Astyanax mexicanus: one gene and its partner. The protein of the gene in region 1 interacts with the protein of each later gene in a biochemical or structural test. Links are inferred from orthologs where the notes say so. Each region holds a gene or a part of one and is shown in the gene's direction. Other genes may lie near its edges.

Region 1 (8,535 bases):
TGGGAATGCCTATTCCCTTACCGCACTTCATAGGCCAACAGCCAAAGCTTCCTTAATCAAAACACGTCCTCCAGAAAAGCAGCGATCATCCACACTGAGTGTGTATAATCCACGCTTTGGTTGCAGTCAGATCTGCACCTGGTGTGTAAACGGCGCTCTGTAGGATTTGGGAGTGTTTTGTACCATCACAGGTGTAGCTCACACACGTAAAGGCGCAGTGCGCATGCGCCGCGAGGTGGCACTCTTTTTATGACCAGGTGAGTAGATTTTGTTCAGGTAAAACCTGGAATTTCGCTTAAGGACAGGAGCCTAAATGAGATAGCACGGCGTGTGATCTGTCCTCTCCAGCAAGAAGAATCAAGCATGTCAGTCGTGGGCAAAATGTTAGATTGGCAGGTACGTGCTATCCCTTTGGGTCATGGAGGTGTGTGTGTGTTTATGTGTGTGTCTGTGTGTGTGTGCTTGCTTTTACTTTTGAACACAGGTAGCCTATACTTAATGCGGTAACTATTGCCACTGCAACTAGTAGATACATTCTGTTTCAGCCGCACTTTTCACGTGCCAAGGAATTGATCGCTTCAAATTGAAGTGAAAAGTTTAACGCGTGAATTGGTGAATCGGAGAAATCGTGCATTTTTTAAGCAAATCTTACTCTAAGCCTTTGACGAAAAAACAAAACAGTCAACATAAGACTGTCTGGAGAACTTTTGTCCTGAAGGAAATATATATATTACAAGGGCTGATATATATATATATATATATATATATATATATATATATATATATATATATATATATATATATATATATATACTCTTTAAACATTGCCAAATTAATCATACTAAATTTTGCAAGTGGTAAATTATTATTATTATTTGAGAATTAAATCAACCAAGTAAACTGCACTAGTTTTTTTGTCGTCAAAAGCTTCTTAACACAACAGGTAAAGTATTAAAATGTATTTTCTTAAACCCCAACACAGGTATTATTTAGCATCGAAGGGCAGGACGCGGAGTTTTCCCACCACGATCGCTGAACAGCAAGGGGGGGCGCAAAAAATACACTCTATAAGCCTAAACATATCTGCAGAAGAATGCAGTGAGGTTGGCCCTAGTTTCAGCAGAGCTTGCTGCTTATCACCAGCCCGGTGTCTTTACGGCCCCATGCACCTCTGCTGCACTTTTCTCTGCCCTAATAATTGCTATTGTGAGCGAGTTTCATTTTGCCCTTTCATTAATGACAACTGCTTTCAATGGCTGTTTTTTTACCCCCCACACCAATGATAATAGCTACTGAAATGGAGAAGGCCAACGCCTTAAACCTGTCGCCCATGTGCCTTTTCGCCGTGACCCGGGGTCCCGGGGTGCTCGTGTCGCCGCTGTCGCGGGGCCAAGCCCCTCTCGTCGTCCACTCCCTCATTCACATTTAACGACCGCACGTTGTTGTGTTAATTATTGACAGCTCCAAAACAGCACTCTCAATGGAGCTCCTGTACCTGCACTAGAATCGACCGCTTTGCATAACAGAGACAGCAGCGTCTCGCGGGCTAAGCTTCTCAATGGGTCTAAAACAACAGTTTACGAAAATCCTTGCGCCAACAAAGTATCTGTGGCGACGGAGAGGTGTGCTGGATATTTGCATTGTACCATAAAGGTCACTGATATGCTAAAGAAGAAGCTTGGTTTTGAGAGCTGTCATTGCAGCAATGTTGAATTGCACCTGAAACGGTGCAATAAAAAATGACAGATGCAATTAGATGATAATAATAATAATAATAATAATAATAATAATAATAATAATAATAATAATAATAATAATAATAATAATAATAATAATAATAATAAATGGCCTATATATACTGAAATATAAATATAGATTTATAGTATGTAGTTAAAATATAAATGTTTTTTTTTTGTTTACAAGGTTGGAAATAGTTTTGTTCCTTTTGGTCTCATGCACATTTTTTTCAGCTGAGCTTGCGCATTATAGGTAAACTTGCATTTTGCCAAACTACTTTACAGCAAATACTACTACTAGCTGAAGTGGGGATGTATATTAGATGTTCTCGAGCTCTCACCCAGCAGATAGCCTACTGTACCTCTGTTGGAGTTGGGGAGGAAAACAAAGCTCTCCAAACACTTCAGACTTCAGATCTCTGAGCGAATGTTTTTTTTTTTGTACCTGAGTGTGTTCATTGGTGATGGCTAGATGAAAATCAAGCTGATATGCTAATGAGGGAGTTCTACCAGCGCTGTGCGAGCCTCTAAACTTCCACCATTAGAGGGAGATCTGAGCGCGCGCACTGCTCAGCCCGCCGAAGCTCTGCCATCTTGAGCTCTGCGCACTGGGTGTAAAACTAGGCAAAGACGCTCTATACTCACTTCACAACCCATGAAAATGCTGTGGAAATTAACAGATAATATTAAATATGAAGACTGTGAGGTAAGAAACGAGTTTATTTCTATTTAAGATATTTTTGTTGCGCTTGAAAAAAAATCTGCAGAATTTTATAGTGTATTTCATTATAATTTTTATTTAATAATAAGTAATGCATATCTAAAAGTGTTTCATATTTTTTACATATCTGCACGTGCTTTCGTTATCAAACATGTTCATGATTTTTGTTTAGAAATAATAACAATATAATTAATATCAATAACAATTATTATTGTCTCAATAACAATATTAATATATAATAGTATATATAGTAAATAGTAAATATTCCGGATGATGAAATCATGAGTAATACAGCATTTTTGACAAAAACACAACTTGCAAAATAAAAACCCCAAACACATTTGCATAAATAAACATAGAAACATATTATTAACTTTTTTAAATGCTAATGTCAATGTATTGTTATAATAATTATTATTAAAAATACAATTTTCATTACTATTATTAGCATTGATAGCATTAATATTATTAAGAGTAATACTAGTAAAAATAATAACAATATTAATAATGATGGTGATATTATTATTATTTTATTTATTATTATTTTTTTAATATTATTAATAATAATGTTATTATATGTTACTAAAAAATAAGTGATACTAATCAATGTTATTATTAAGTAACACTTGTTATTTTATTTAGATTTTAATCAATTAATTTTAATGCTAAAAATAAACTACCAAAAATTAGCACGGTGGTTTTGCTGTAGCTGTTTCTTTTAAAGCTGTATCGGTGTGATCGCTCAATTGGAAGGAAGGTTAGGACGGTGCTGCCCGTGTGTTTGTGTGGAGTGTGTGGATTGCTGCAGCCAGTCGAGCATGTTTTTGTTCCCCTACGGACGACAGACACATAAATTTTGACTCTTCTTTCGCACGAATTGTTCAAGCTTGTGTGATTTTATTTATTTGCTCGTTTAATTTAATTTACATCGAGTATTTTTGTTTTTTAAATAAAAAACCCGTGATGAACAGGATCGCGTGCGAATAAGCCGAGAAGCGGAGGGGTGGACGTTTGCTCTGTCCCTGTGTGTGTGCGTGTGTATGTTTTGAGTAAACGTTAAGTCGTAAACTTTGGAGTTTTTTTGGCCAGCTCATAGAGCCAATTCAGCTGTGTGTTGTTAGTCATGTGGCTGAGCTCTCGGGGAGCAGCTTGGGAAGGCCATGCGACAAAAAGAGAAAAGTAGTAAAAAGAGAAGGAACAGCACCAAACATGCTCAGAAATTCCCTAGCCCTCGTCGGATTCTCTTAGCAGTCTGAGGCGCTCGACGTTTTCTTTGCTTCGGTTCTTAGTTGGGTTCCTCTCTCTCTGTCGTTCGTTCTTTCACTTTTCCTCGCCCTCAAATCTTTTAAAACGCCCCCCTCTCTCTCTGATTCGTCAGACGCCAGAGAATGTCCCTCTTTTTGTCTCTCTCTTCCTCCCTCCCTCTCTCTCTCACTCTCTCTCACCCACTCCCCCTCTCTTTCTCTCCCCATCTCTGATTAGATATACTGATTCCTCATTCAATGGACGTCATTTAGTGCGGAGTCTGCCTTGAGTTGCTTCCTCGCTTCACGCTCGATTTCCGACCATTCTTCCCTTATTAAGTATTCGTGTAATATTAATAGTCATGAATATCTGCTATTAGGAGTCCGAGAGGAAGAAGAGGCAGCTCTTTTGCTAAATATGCGCCCAAGCGAGGGAACAGCTTACTGAGAGAGCGAAGGAGGCGAAGGAAAAGAGGATCTAAGAAACTTAAAAAACACTCCGATCCGCCAAGACCCTCCAAACAACAACAACAAAACTGCATTTATTTCTTTTTTTCTTTTTTGAATTTTTTTATTTTGGTTTTGGTTTCCGTCTCCAACAGCAGATGAAGAACATTGGGAATTTTACCCAGGCTCTGATGGATTATCGTGCTTCTTCTCCGCGTATTTGAATACTGGGACTCCGTGACCTCGACGCACAGACAAACAGAAAGAACGCAAGAAAGAAAGAGAAATACATAGAAAAGCCGCCTCAGTGCTGTGGGCTCTTTATTCCGGTTCGACCGCTCCGGCTCTTTGCCCAGGTTTTTGCGTTCTCCTTGCAGAAACGCTCGGAAATCTCTTCAGATGTTAGTGCACAGCTTTTCCGCGATGGTGAGTGAGTGCGGGGCTGGCGGGATGAAAGTGTAGAGAGGACCGTCTTTTTTCCCTTTTTGTGTATATTTATGTCTGCATCGTCATGCAAGCCATAATATCTAATATCAAATACCATTACAAAGACTTTTTACTGGATGTGAGCTCTTGATATTTTTTTTTCAATATTTGAATATATTTTTGTGTGTTTTTTTTTTTTTTTTACAATTTTATGTGTATTTTATGGGAAACGAAATTGATTTATGTAGTCAAAAATTATTGTTATTATTATTATTATTATTATTATTATTATTATTATTATTATTATTATTATTATTATATTAATAGTAGTCGTATCAGTAGTAGTAGTGGGAGTTGTAGTATTATATTAGTAATAATATATTATAATACTATTATTAGTATTATTGTTTGGCCACTATAATATGAAAAAAATCTGATATTTTTTGCACGAAATTCTTTAGAATTCTTGTTGCTGTCCGCCCTTTCTTATTTTCTCTTCTTTCTTCTCTCTCTCTCCGTCTTGCAGGATCGCCATGACGGGACCAGCAATGGCACGGCCCGGTTACCTCAACTGGGCGGTGTGGGTCAGTCACCGTACACAAGTGCGCCACCGCTTTCTCACACGCCCAACTCGGACTTCCAGCCGCCCTACTTCCCGCCGCCCTACCAGCCCATCTATCCGCAGTCTCAGGACCCTTATTCGCACGTCAATGACCCCTATTCCATCAACTCGCTGCACGCGCAACCACAGCCCCAGCACCCGGGATGGCCAAGCCAACGGCAGAGCCAGGAGAGCAGTCTACTGCACCAGCACCGCGGCCTGCCCCACCAACTGTGCCGGGAATACCGCAGAGAGGTTCTGCTGCCGTCCGGCCACGGTCTCGAGACCGGCCTTACAGACTCTATCCCAATCCACGGAATACCTCACTCTTTAGACGACGTGCAGGTAAGAGCAAAACTTCTCGTAATCCTGTAGTTTTGTATTCTAAAGCTTTTTTAATGGTGAAACTGTAAACAATGTATTTGTCTGGAAATAAAAGTTACTAATTATCGGGCCAACAAATGCGTGTTAAAATAGTTTTACTGGTTAGTACTGGTACAGTAAGTAGTGGTGACTTGTATGTATGTATGTATTTAATGTAGGTATGTATTTAATATGCGATTTAAAGGCATTTGAGCCTTCAGAATTTAGATTCTGTGTTTTTGTTAACCTCAACAATATAATATATATATATATATATATTAACTAAAAACTGGAAATTTGCGTTTCTTTAAAATTATTTTTAAATAGCCAGCATGTTTATCTGGACAGAAAATGTGCCAGTGTTAAATCAAAGCTGTCGGTGTTACATTATACACTTTTTAAATTAAATTAGCACTAATAGTGTTGTTTATACACTGGTGAATTTACTGTGTGATTTTGTCTTTTGCATTTTTTATATTTCAAAAAGACTAAAGTAAAAAAGTACTATAATAAGTACTTTATTAACAATCAAATAATTGCACCGTCATCTCAGGAACATAACATGCTATATTGCACATTTTGCTTTAATACTCTCTGTCATTTTTTGGACGTGATTCCTGGTTACCCTCCTCCTCTTCCCCCATTTCCTTCCCCTTTAATTTAATTGTAGTCTGCCCCGTGAAAAAATTCAAGCGAAGAGAAATAACGAGGCTAAATGACGCATTCGACCCGGAAACATTTTTCAGAAATACTCAGGAATAATACCATATATATTCACTGCGTAGAAAACATTTATTTCATTTATCGCCAGGCAGGTGGGATGGGAGAAATAAATAAAAATAATAATAAAAATAACCAGTATATTTAAATCGATTAAAAATATTTTTAAAGCATCGTTGTAATTTCTCATGTATTTGTCTTTTTACAGCTTGTGCAAGAGATAAAGTACAGTTTTATTGTGCTACACATCACTATGCATTTGGTAGTGGACTGTCATAAACAGTGATGAGATTCATTGAATGGTTCCTCGTTTGCTTAGCAATCTGATTTTGCCAAACCAAATAGAAGCCTCTCTACATTCTGAGTGTGTTTTAATGGCTTATTCTGAACTATTTTACAGCATGTTGAGGATCAAGGAATTCACATCCCTGACCAGACCGTCATCAAGAAAGGTATGCGGCTTTTAAAAAAACCCTGCGTCCGTATTGGCTCTGCACAATCTCACCTTAAAAATAAGACTTTTTGCAGGCCTGTTTTTCTAGAAAGTCTATTTAAAAGTCTAAATTATTTGAAATTTGCTACAGCTAAAAATCGCCCTGTATAGCATATCCGTAAGCGTGTGTGTCTGTGTGCATGTGTGTATTAGTGAGTGAGAGAGAGAAAAATGGTGCGTTCTTTATATCGACTAGTTCTGCACCATCATGATTGCATTTAAAATGGCAGCCTTAACGCTGGGCGAGCACGGATTTTTGATACTTTATCCACGAGAACCGTGGTTGATTTTCTAACAGTTTGGTGCTGTAGAGTTGGCTTTGTCTCCTGGTTGGAAGAGAATGAATGCATAAATTGAATCCGGGCAACTCGTTTTATTTTATGTTTTTTTTTTCGATGCGTTTGTTAAATTCGTCGTGGGTGAATATTAAGGGATGTCTTCTTTTTCTCTCCATATCTGCGCCGTAATTGGTTGTTATATTAGCAATCTCCGGAGTTCGCTTAACTGCCATTGTCTCTATTAGCCTCCGCTGAGCCATTAATGTCACTAGTGATCTATCCAAACGTGCGCGGGCCTTTGTCTCCGTTTACCGTGCAACGCAACTGGGCACCCCTGCAAAGATACACTACAACATGCGCTGCTCCTGGGTTTGTTGGGCAAGTGTGTGTGTGTGTGTGACAGAGAGAGAAAGAGAGAGTGTGAAAAAGAGCGTGTTTTATTCCATGTGTTTGTGAACGCGCGCGCGCGTGTGTGTGTCTGTGAGAGAGAAAGAGTGAGGGAATCTGGAAAATGTGCAATAAGCAGAATAGCCTATTTCTGAATGAGGTCTTTTAGAACAGTAGATGGGATGTAAAGATTACTTTTGATTAAATGTGACTGAACGTGACAATTAGTTGATTATTATTATTATTATTATTATTATTATTATTATTATTATTACAAGAATGTGGACATTTTTGAACACCGTTTTTAAACAATGTTTTTTTCTTTATGCTAAAACTCTGAAAAATCAGGCAAGGGCATCACATAGTGTTTACAGATGCGCTGTTTCTCTCATTACCCCCCTCGGCGGGTCATCCAGACAGTGTCCAAATCGCAGCAAATCCCGCGCACGTTCCGCTGTCATATTCTTTAAGCCTGCACTGCAGTCACAATCGCGCTAATATTAAATATTTTGATGGCTGGGCCACTTCATTACCCGAGGCACATTTGAGCAGTTACATTCATGAGCTGAATGAAAAGCCACTGCTATCGTATCTATTTTCCTTTCACCCCTCCTCCTCAGATAAGAACATATTGCCTTTGATTTCACAGGCCTGCGACGAGATGCGGTGCATACGCTTATTCCATATTTTGTCTGTGTGAATATCAATTCTTACCCCTCATACCCATACCTATCTCCATCCCCATTCCATGAGACTATATGAAGGTTCTCAAAATCATGTCCTGCTTTCTTCTAGGTCCTGTTTCCTTGTCTAAGAACAACAGCAATGTGTCGGCCATCCCCATTAACAAAGATGGGCTCTTCGGCGGCGTGGTCAACCCAAACGAAGTGTTCTGCTCGGTCCCTGGCCGCCTGTCTCTACTCAGCTCCACCTCAAAGTACAAGGTCACGGTAGCAGAAGTGCAGAGACGCCTCTCGCCGCCCGAGTGCCTCAACGCTTCCCTGCTCGGCGGGGTGTTGAGAAGGTGAGGTTTTGCTTTTTTTACCCCATTAAATGTCACCAATAATTACATCCGAGCAGTCGATTCCTGGCTGTCCAAACAGCTCAAATTGGCGGACA
Region 2 (8,458 bases), about 50 Mb from region 1:
GGACAGTCCTACTGCCTCACATACATGCTGCTCCTCTAATCCAGCAGTTTGATTTAGTGAAAATCAGTATGAACATGAACAACACTGAACATGAGACAGAATGTTGGTTTAGTTTGGGTCTGATCTGCATTAATTTCCTTGGCCTTTGCCATTACTGTGTTACAATGTTCAGAAAACATAATTTAAAACCTGTACACCACATTTTTCATGTATGCTCTATGGACAAAAGTATGGTGACCAGCTAATTTATTATTTCTTCCAAAATCAAGGGTATAAAAAGAGTTTATCCTATTTTTGTTTGGGTAACTGTCTAAACTGTTCAATGGAGGCTTTCTACTAGATTTTAAAGCATCGCTGTAGGAATTTTATAGCTAAGCCTTTTTTTTTGTCAGCAAGAAAAAGAACATTTCAAAGGAGTTATTGTAAGCAAAACTTTGCCATGCCATTTGTATGCTCAAATAAAGATGTTTAGAAATACTTCTGGCCCTAACTGTGTTTGCCTGTTATCTACAATTCCATTTGATGTTAGAAGGGTGCAGCATGTCTCTTGTGTCATCTTCATGGTTAGCTGTTTTCCTTTTTCTGTTTTTGTGTAAAATCAAACAAAAAGTGTGCACTAATATGTGCAGATAATGTCTTTTTCAGTATAGTTTTGCGTAAAAATGAATACATATCACTTCACTGACATGAGAATCATTCATCACTCAAATAATATCTAGTGAACGGCAGTCATGTGGTCAGATGAACTGAACAGAGGGTGGCTCACAAATAATGCATGACAACAGATGGGCCACAGTCTGGAATTGTATACCTAAATAATGCGTGTGACTAGGGAGAATAAGAGTAAGGTAAATGTTTTTAATAAAGCTGACATAACTAATACATCCCTCAGCAGTACCTGATGGCAATCCTTTCAAAAATGGCTTATGAAAATTATGAACACAGCGATTCATCAAAAAGTGTGCTAAATCATTGTTCACACTATGGAGAGAAATGTAACCTTAAGCAAACACATTAAATGAAATCTGAATATAAACAAAACCCTCAGGTAGCATTCTGTAAATAAACCCTCTTTCACATAGAGAACATAAGAGCTCTGGCTTTCACTCCAGCTCACTGTTCAATTAAAGCTGACAAGAGATGACTCACATCAGCCTTTATTCCCTCCAATAACGCTGCTGAAATGGACATGTTTATCCACAGCATAATGAAGGCTGACGTTTTTTTCTCTGAATCTGTTTGGAAAAGCAGGTGTCTCCTTACATGGAGAGAGCTCTCTGTTATCTCGCCACCAAGCTCACAGAGTGTGCGCTCCATGAAAGACAAGTGGGTTGAACTCGATGCTCAGCCATGAGATTCATCAAAGATACATGCTTCACATTCTTTCCTGACATGCTGAACCTCTGAAAGTGGGAAGAAATTAGCCGGATGACTCTGCTAACATACAACAGATCTGGGACGGCTGAAGAAAAATGTGAAGGAAATGAAGTCCTTTTAAAAACAGAGATCAATAAAAATCAAGCAGCCATAACAATAAAACCACTGACAAATGAAGTGAAGTATATCTGGTGAGAGTAGCACCAAGTAAAGGGTGGAATATTTTAGGCAGCATCTGAACAGGCAGTTCTTAAATTTAAGGTTAAAAAAGTAAAAATAAGGATCTCAGCGACTGAAGCAAGTGCTGTTCACTCTGCTGTCTGCAAGTTCCTTGATGACACAACTGTGGTGGGTCTTAACCTGTTCCAGGATGTGGAAAAAATAAGGGGATGGTTGTTGAGTTCAGGAGAGTACAGAGTGACCGGTCAAAAACAATATTAAAAAACTAAGCAGACTAAAAAATACAAACAGATCATAAAATACACACATATATACTCTTTAAATAGTACTATTTAAAATTTTTGCAGAGGCTTTAAATTACAGAGGCTTCAATTGGTTCTTACAGTAATGACATAGAGAAACCTTATTTGATCCATAAAGACTCATAAAAAGGCATGTTTGTAATAGAAATGGGTGAAGAAGTTTAGCATCAAGTAGAGATTTTTCACATTCACACACCTCTACTTTAAATATTGTTTAAATATGTATGTGGTACTATTTTATGTTTGTTTATTTTGGTACTTACTCAGATTATGCATGAAATGCAAATGTATTGAAATATTGGATATAATAATACATCAGATCACTCTTTGCAATACACATGTTTACTTTACGCAATAACATTAACACATCTGATTGGGCCGGGCTTTGGGGACTAGGCAGTTCAATAGTCATGAGTGATTTATTGCAGTCTACACTAGATAAACATAAAACACCTTCCCCCTGCACCTTTCAGGAAGCGCAGAGGATAAACAGAGGGGTGGGTGGGAGCAGCTCTGTGATAAGCTACACATGGGAGATCCATGTGCTACCACTGTGCTTTGTTCCCCTTTGCCCCTGCACTTTTGCTTTCAAGCCGCTGCTTAGCCTCTGATTGAGGTCGGTGCACCAGCGGGGCTGGCTTATTATTGACTATTCGGGATCTTAGCTGACTGAAGCTTGAGTTTTACACACAGACACGTAACAGAATTGTGACCAAAACAACAAGCAATTGCGTTTCCCACTATAAGAAGCAGTGTTTGTAAAGCTTGCGAAGGAGGCCTCAGCAAAGATTGTTTATACAGCTGACATTGCCAGTTTCTAATTCTTATATTCTATTTTGTTACCCATACAAAATCCTTCAAAAATAAGAAGTGATCTTACTTGTTAAATAAAGTACTGGCTCTGATTAAATATGTTCATTTGCTCATCTTGCATTTTTTCATGTTTTAAGTGATGCCTTGTTATTGCAATAACAAGTTTATATATACATTTTATACACTAAATTGTATAACTGGTTTAGTAAAGATGGTAAACATGAAATATAAAAAAATGGAATCCTGCATATTTCTTCGTCTAAAAATCTATTTACAGGTTTCTTTATTACTGTTACCCCTGTTGCACAGGCAGAAAAAAAACTTATTTGATTTATTACAATCATTGTGCCTCCAAAAGGTAATGTTTTGGTGCATTTCACATATTAATATGCTATAAACAAAACTATCGCGTGTCTATTTGAGTTTAGTGTACTTTTTTAGAATCAACAGGAATCAAGAGATAATGCAGGGAAAGGAAATATCCCCAACAAACTAAAGATTGTACGGCCCAGTTGGACTTTGGTACAGCAGGTTGTTTTCCATGTAGACAAGAGGCACACCGAACTCTTGAACTGATTGGTTATGACACCAAAATGTGCAATAGGTTTCTAACATAAGGCTTTAGTGGGTGTGAGGCTCATTAGTTAGATTCCCTAGTGTGACTGATTCGAACAGCTCCGGCATTAAACAAATTTGGAATGCTATTGTCCTTCACCTCGGAATAACTGAAGCAACACAGTGTCAGCGTGCATGCCTGAACAGAAACACATGCAATGTGCTTCTACTGATTTGTTACAATTACTATGAATATTTAGATATATCTGCCAATATATGAATTAATTAGGTGGCTTGGTATTTGTTGGTATTTCGATTACTATAATTCTATAATATAGTTTGACACTTTTACCCCCCAAAAATGATTGTGGAAACTTCACACTAGACCTCAAGCAGCTTGGAATGTGTGCCTCTCCACTCTTTCTCCAGACTCTGGCTTAAAATAGATCACTCTGTTAAATACATCTATATGATATATGGGTTTTACATTTTGAACTGAATTACTGAAATAAAGTAACTTTTAAATTATATTAAAAATTTTTGAGATGCACCAGTATTTACGTCTAGATTTATTCTAATCTGTTCATGTTTCATAAAGAGCCACAAACTTAAGCTCCTCATACTAGTGAGCACCAGTGAGGAATTAAAGAGAACAGAAAGCAGACAGAGAACAGAGAAACAGAATGAGTGGAAGAAGCCCTGTTTACAGAACACAGAGGTGAAAAATGCTGCCAGACTTGGCGTGACCGTTCCACTATTCTAAAAAATGGCATGTTTTTATGTCCAAAAATAAGTCACTCTGGATGTGAAAGAGCATTAAGCATGGGATGTGGGTGAAGGAAACTGCAGTTTAATTAAATGTTGTTGAGCAGGCTAATCCTCCTTGTTTACTCTCTAAAACTGACTCCTCCAGGCAGTTATTTTAAGCCAGCTGTAACAGACAACCATTTAAAGACAACGACAACAAATCCCTTGGAGCAGTTGACTGTTTTATCATTAGCTGTTGTTCTGAGGCTGTGAGGGAAGTGCAGGACCTGTGTGCTACACAGTGAGACGTGACCGGGGTGTTTGTGACTGTTGAACAGAAATAGCTGCAGTGAGGTAATGTTCAGCTCTGAGAGGACACTGCTCCTCTACCTCCACTGCATGTTTTGTGAATCCAGACTTCGGTTTCTCCTATGTTGCTTTTCTTTCCCGCCTCTATTCCGACAGGCCACGCCTCCGGTGCGCTGGGATTGGCTGAGTGTTTCGTGTTCTGCAGAGCTGGTTGGTGTTCCTCAGAGTCGTGAGTGTGAGTCAGAGTGGAGGAGGCCAGTCGCAGCGCAGGAATAGCCCGAACCCACTGACCAATCCCAGCGCGAGGGGGCGTTACTGGAATCCGCGTGGCCCCGCCCCCTCTCTGAAGGTGTGTGTTTCTGAGTGTGAGAGCGAGCGCTCGGAGCAGTGTGCTGTAGTGAGCTGCTTCAGTGTGTTTTAGTGTGTTTCGGTGTTTTTGAGGAGCGGACACAGCGCGGGCTTCACTGGGAGCTGGGATTAGGGATCGAGTCCAGTCTTTTGGAGTTGTTTGTATACTTTTTTTCAGCCACTAAAGGAAGTAAAAGAAGAGTTTTGGAGCGTTTTGCGATTTTCTGACCTCCTCCTTCAGCTCAGCTCCAGGGATTTCCACCGCATCTTCAGCTGAAGTGATCTGGTTGGGAAAGGCTGAAAGTTCTGCTACTGGTGCTGCTTGTGGTCGACGCGGCGCGCTGTGCACGCATGGGGTGCTTTGCCTGAGCCGCCGCGTGCGTGTGCTGTTCTCCCCCCTCCTGCTCCCCCCCCCCCCCCGTCCCGCAGGGGGGAATGGTCGACCGCATGATGGCTATGAACCATGGCCGATTCCCTGAAGCCGTGAACGGTCTCCACCAGCACCATCACCCCCACCCGCAGCAGCAGCAGCAGCAGCGCAGGATGGGCATGGGGCAGTTCTCCAGCCCCCTCCAGCCGCAGCAGCAGCAGCACGGCTACAGTAACGGCATGCTGGAGCCCATGCACTACAGCAGCGGCGCTGGAAGCCACGGGCTCCGGCACCCGGGCGGCAGCGTGGCGGTTCCCGCGCGCTTCGCCTCTCAGTTCGTGGCCACCGGCGGTCAGGGGCAGCTGGCGGCGAGCATGCAGCTGCAGAAGCTGAACACACAGTACTACACCCAGCACCACCCGCACCACCACCCGCAGCAGCCCCAGCCCCAACCCCAGCAGCACCTCCTCCACTACCCGCACGAGCTGCAGGGCGGGTTCCGGGACGGCGGGGCCAGGCTCGGGGCGGCGGGCAGGGAGCCCCCGCAGCTCCCCGCCGCGCACAGCGTCATCGACACGGACCTGATCGACGAGGAGGTGCTGATGGCGCTGGTGGTGGAGATGGGACTGGACAGGATAAAGGAGCTGCCCGAGCTGTGGCTGGGCCAGAACGAGTTCGACTTCATGACGGACTTTGTGTGCAAACAGCAGCCCAGCCGAGTCAGCTGCTAATATACCACCACTGACACACCACTACTACCACTGCAGAGGGGGCTTTTATAAAGCTGCTTATTTCATTTCTCATAACTGACCGAAACCCTGGAGCTTCTGTGATTTATGATTGTTTTTCCCTCTTTTGTTTTATTTATGGACACTATTTTGTTTCACATTTTCTTTTATTTAAACTTGACATTCCATTTTATTTTGTATAGTCATTTTTCTTTTATTTTGTTTTCTTTTGTTATTTTTCTTTCTTGACATTTTTTTAAGGAAAAATCCACTACAGCAACCACAACAAGAAGGGGCCAGATGGGGATTGAACTTTTTTCTTTTCTATTCTGAACGAGCCCATGTTGTAGATGATGGTTGGTGATAATGAGTGTGTTTAGCATAAGGGGTGCATGCCTGAAACACTTTTCCTTGGCTGAGTGACACCCCCAATAGGTCATGCAGAACACCACATGATTTTTTTTTTGACACAGAGTCTGCAGGACACGTGGAGAAGACAATGGAAGCCTAGAACCCATGAGCTGTTTGTTCAGCATCTTTTGATTTGTAGCAGAGACAAGATACCAACTTGTGCATTCTGGTCAAATCCTTCAGTTTCCTGTGTTATTTAAAGCTGTTGATCGGAAGACCTGAGTGAGATCAAACTCGTGTGGATGCATCACTATGTAGGTGGTTATGTATCATGATTGTAGACCAGTATATAGTGTAATTGTCCCCATTCAGCAATGTGCTGTAAACTTCAGTGGCCATAATATTTACACAATATCTATGCTGTTGAGAGACCATGGGTGGAAGCTTTGAACCATTAACATTCTTCCCTACAGCTTCCTGATCGTCTGATCTATCAGCTAAGATCATTCAGAGACCTGTTCCTCCATAATTTTACTGAAAAGAATCAACTGTGGGAGTGATGTGTGTGTGTGTAGGTGTGTTCTATGCTTCATGCTAAAATTGGTACTATGGTATCAAACAGGGAGAGATATTTAAGAAGATATAGGACAGTAAGTCTTAAGGGAACGGTGGAGAAAAATGTTGCTGTATTGAATATCCACTGCCCTGTTCTGCTCTTTTTGTGAGTGGAGATTAAAAACAAAGCCTGGAATGTTCTTAAAGGAAGGCCATGTGGGATTATCACCTCCATCAGTTATAGATACACCACTGTGCTTATCTAGTATGCGATACATGGCAATACTACTGTGTTGAGGCTTTCTAGGAAAGTTTGACAGTATTTTTGTATATTTTTTAGAAGAAAATGTTAATTTATTATATTTTAATTTGCAAACATGAATAAAGCAGCAGAAATGTATTACTGAAGTGAACACTGTCAAGGTCATTTAATTTATAGATGTGTATGGCACTGGGTTTATGTACTTTATCAGTAGTATTTGGTTACAATACTACATCATTAATGTGCAGAGGAATGTGCACATTGTTTGGACACCTGAGCACATTTATTTAAAACTCATTTTTCTAAAAACAGTTGGTACCTTGTGATCTTTGAGAAGAACAGAAGTTTGATTGCACATTCCTCTTTCCCATCCATTGCATGTCAATCAAATTTACCAAAATTATGACTCAAAAAAGGCATTAGACAATACCTACAAATAATACTGTACTTGAGTACAGCTTTGAAAACACAAAATTCTAGTATTTTTAGACTCTGTATATGCCTATTTCCTAATATAGAAGCTTTTATTTATTTTAACTTTTCAAATGTGCCTGAAAGTAATGCATAGAACCCGTAGAATAACAAATGTGTTGTTCCCTTAAACAATTAAGTGGGTTGTTCTTTAGAAAATTTTGTCTAAAAACCCTTTTTTACGGTTCAAAGAATCTTCAGATAATATAAACTTTTAGGAACTGTATGTGTAATCAGGTTTACACTCATAAACCTCTTTTCAGACAAGGCTATGGTTCTACATGGAACCAAAAATACTTACATGATGCTTTGTCTGGTTGACTGAACCATAACAATTCAAAGAGCCAACCTTTAAATACATTAAGTGGACAAATGTACTTGGACACCAGCTCATTTGTATTTCTTCTGAAATGATTCTGCTTTTATTGTAGCAGCTGTCTCTACTGCCAAGTGAAGGCTTTCTACAATAAATACAAATCAGAATAAGTTGGAACAGTATGGAAAATGCAAATGGAAAAACAAATGTTACATTAACTTTGACGTCTATTTCATTGCAGACAGTATGAACCTAAGCTATTGTTTGTCTGGCCAACTTCATCACATTTGTTTATACAAATCCATTCCTTCATTTCAGACCAAACTAGTTTTACCTAATGACGTGATTTTAACATGTGATGTCAACATGTTTTCATAATCATAATTTGGTACAAATCCACAAAATACATTTCTTCCTAATATCATATTCATAATATCAATATTGCATAATATCATGAGTTCAAGGATTCAGGAAGATTTTAGTGTGTAAAGGGGAGGGACACAGGCCTAAACTAACCACCTGTGATCTCCCCTTACTCATCAAAAACCATTATTCAACAACAGAATGTTGGAACTACATTACCATTATTACTTGTGATCACTTTCATCAAGTATAATAAAAATGAAGTTACATTCACAAATACCACCTTTTTCTGAGCATAACAGAAGGCTTATGTTAACCAGGTCCAGAAGTGGTCTAAGTCTCTGAGGCATCTAGGATAGACATCACACATTGGAAATGTGTACTGTGGTCACACTAGTCAGCTTTTCTTTT

Evidence for each region.
Region 2: the proteins of tfap2a (region 1) and cited2 form a complex in vitro, tested with the Homo sapiens proteins (2 studies listed by BioGRID, with this or other methods). The link is inferred for Astyanax mexicanus from reciprocal best matches to the Homo sapiens genes TFAP2A and CITED2.

What each region holds. Positions count from the first base shown.
Region 1 is NC_064408.1:107,713,168-107,721,702, reverse strand, and holds the start of tfap2a (transcription factor AP-2-alpha), read left to right. Parts: upstream 1-4,629; 5' UTR 4,630-4,659; coding exon 4,660-4,713; intron 4,714-5,100; coding exon 5,101-5,520; intron 5,521-6,658; coding exon 6,659-6,710; intron 6,711-8,211; coding exon 8,212-8,440; intron 8,441-8,535.
Region 2 is NC_064408.1:57,924,802-57,933,259, forward strand, and holds cited2 (cbp/p300-interacting transactivator 2), read left to right. Parts: upstream 1-4,583; 5' UTR 4,584-5,066; coding exon 5,067-5,732; 3' UTR 5,733-7,048; downstream 7,049-8,458. UniProt on the Homo sapiens protein: Transcriptional coactivator of the p300/CBP-mediated transcription complex. Acts as a bridge, linking TFAP2 transcription factors and the p300/CBP transcriptional coactivator complex in order to stimulate TFAP2-mediated transcriptional activation.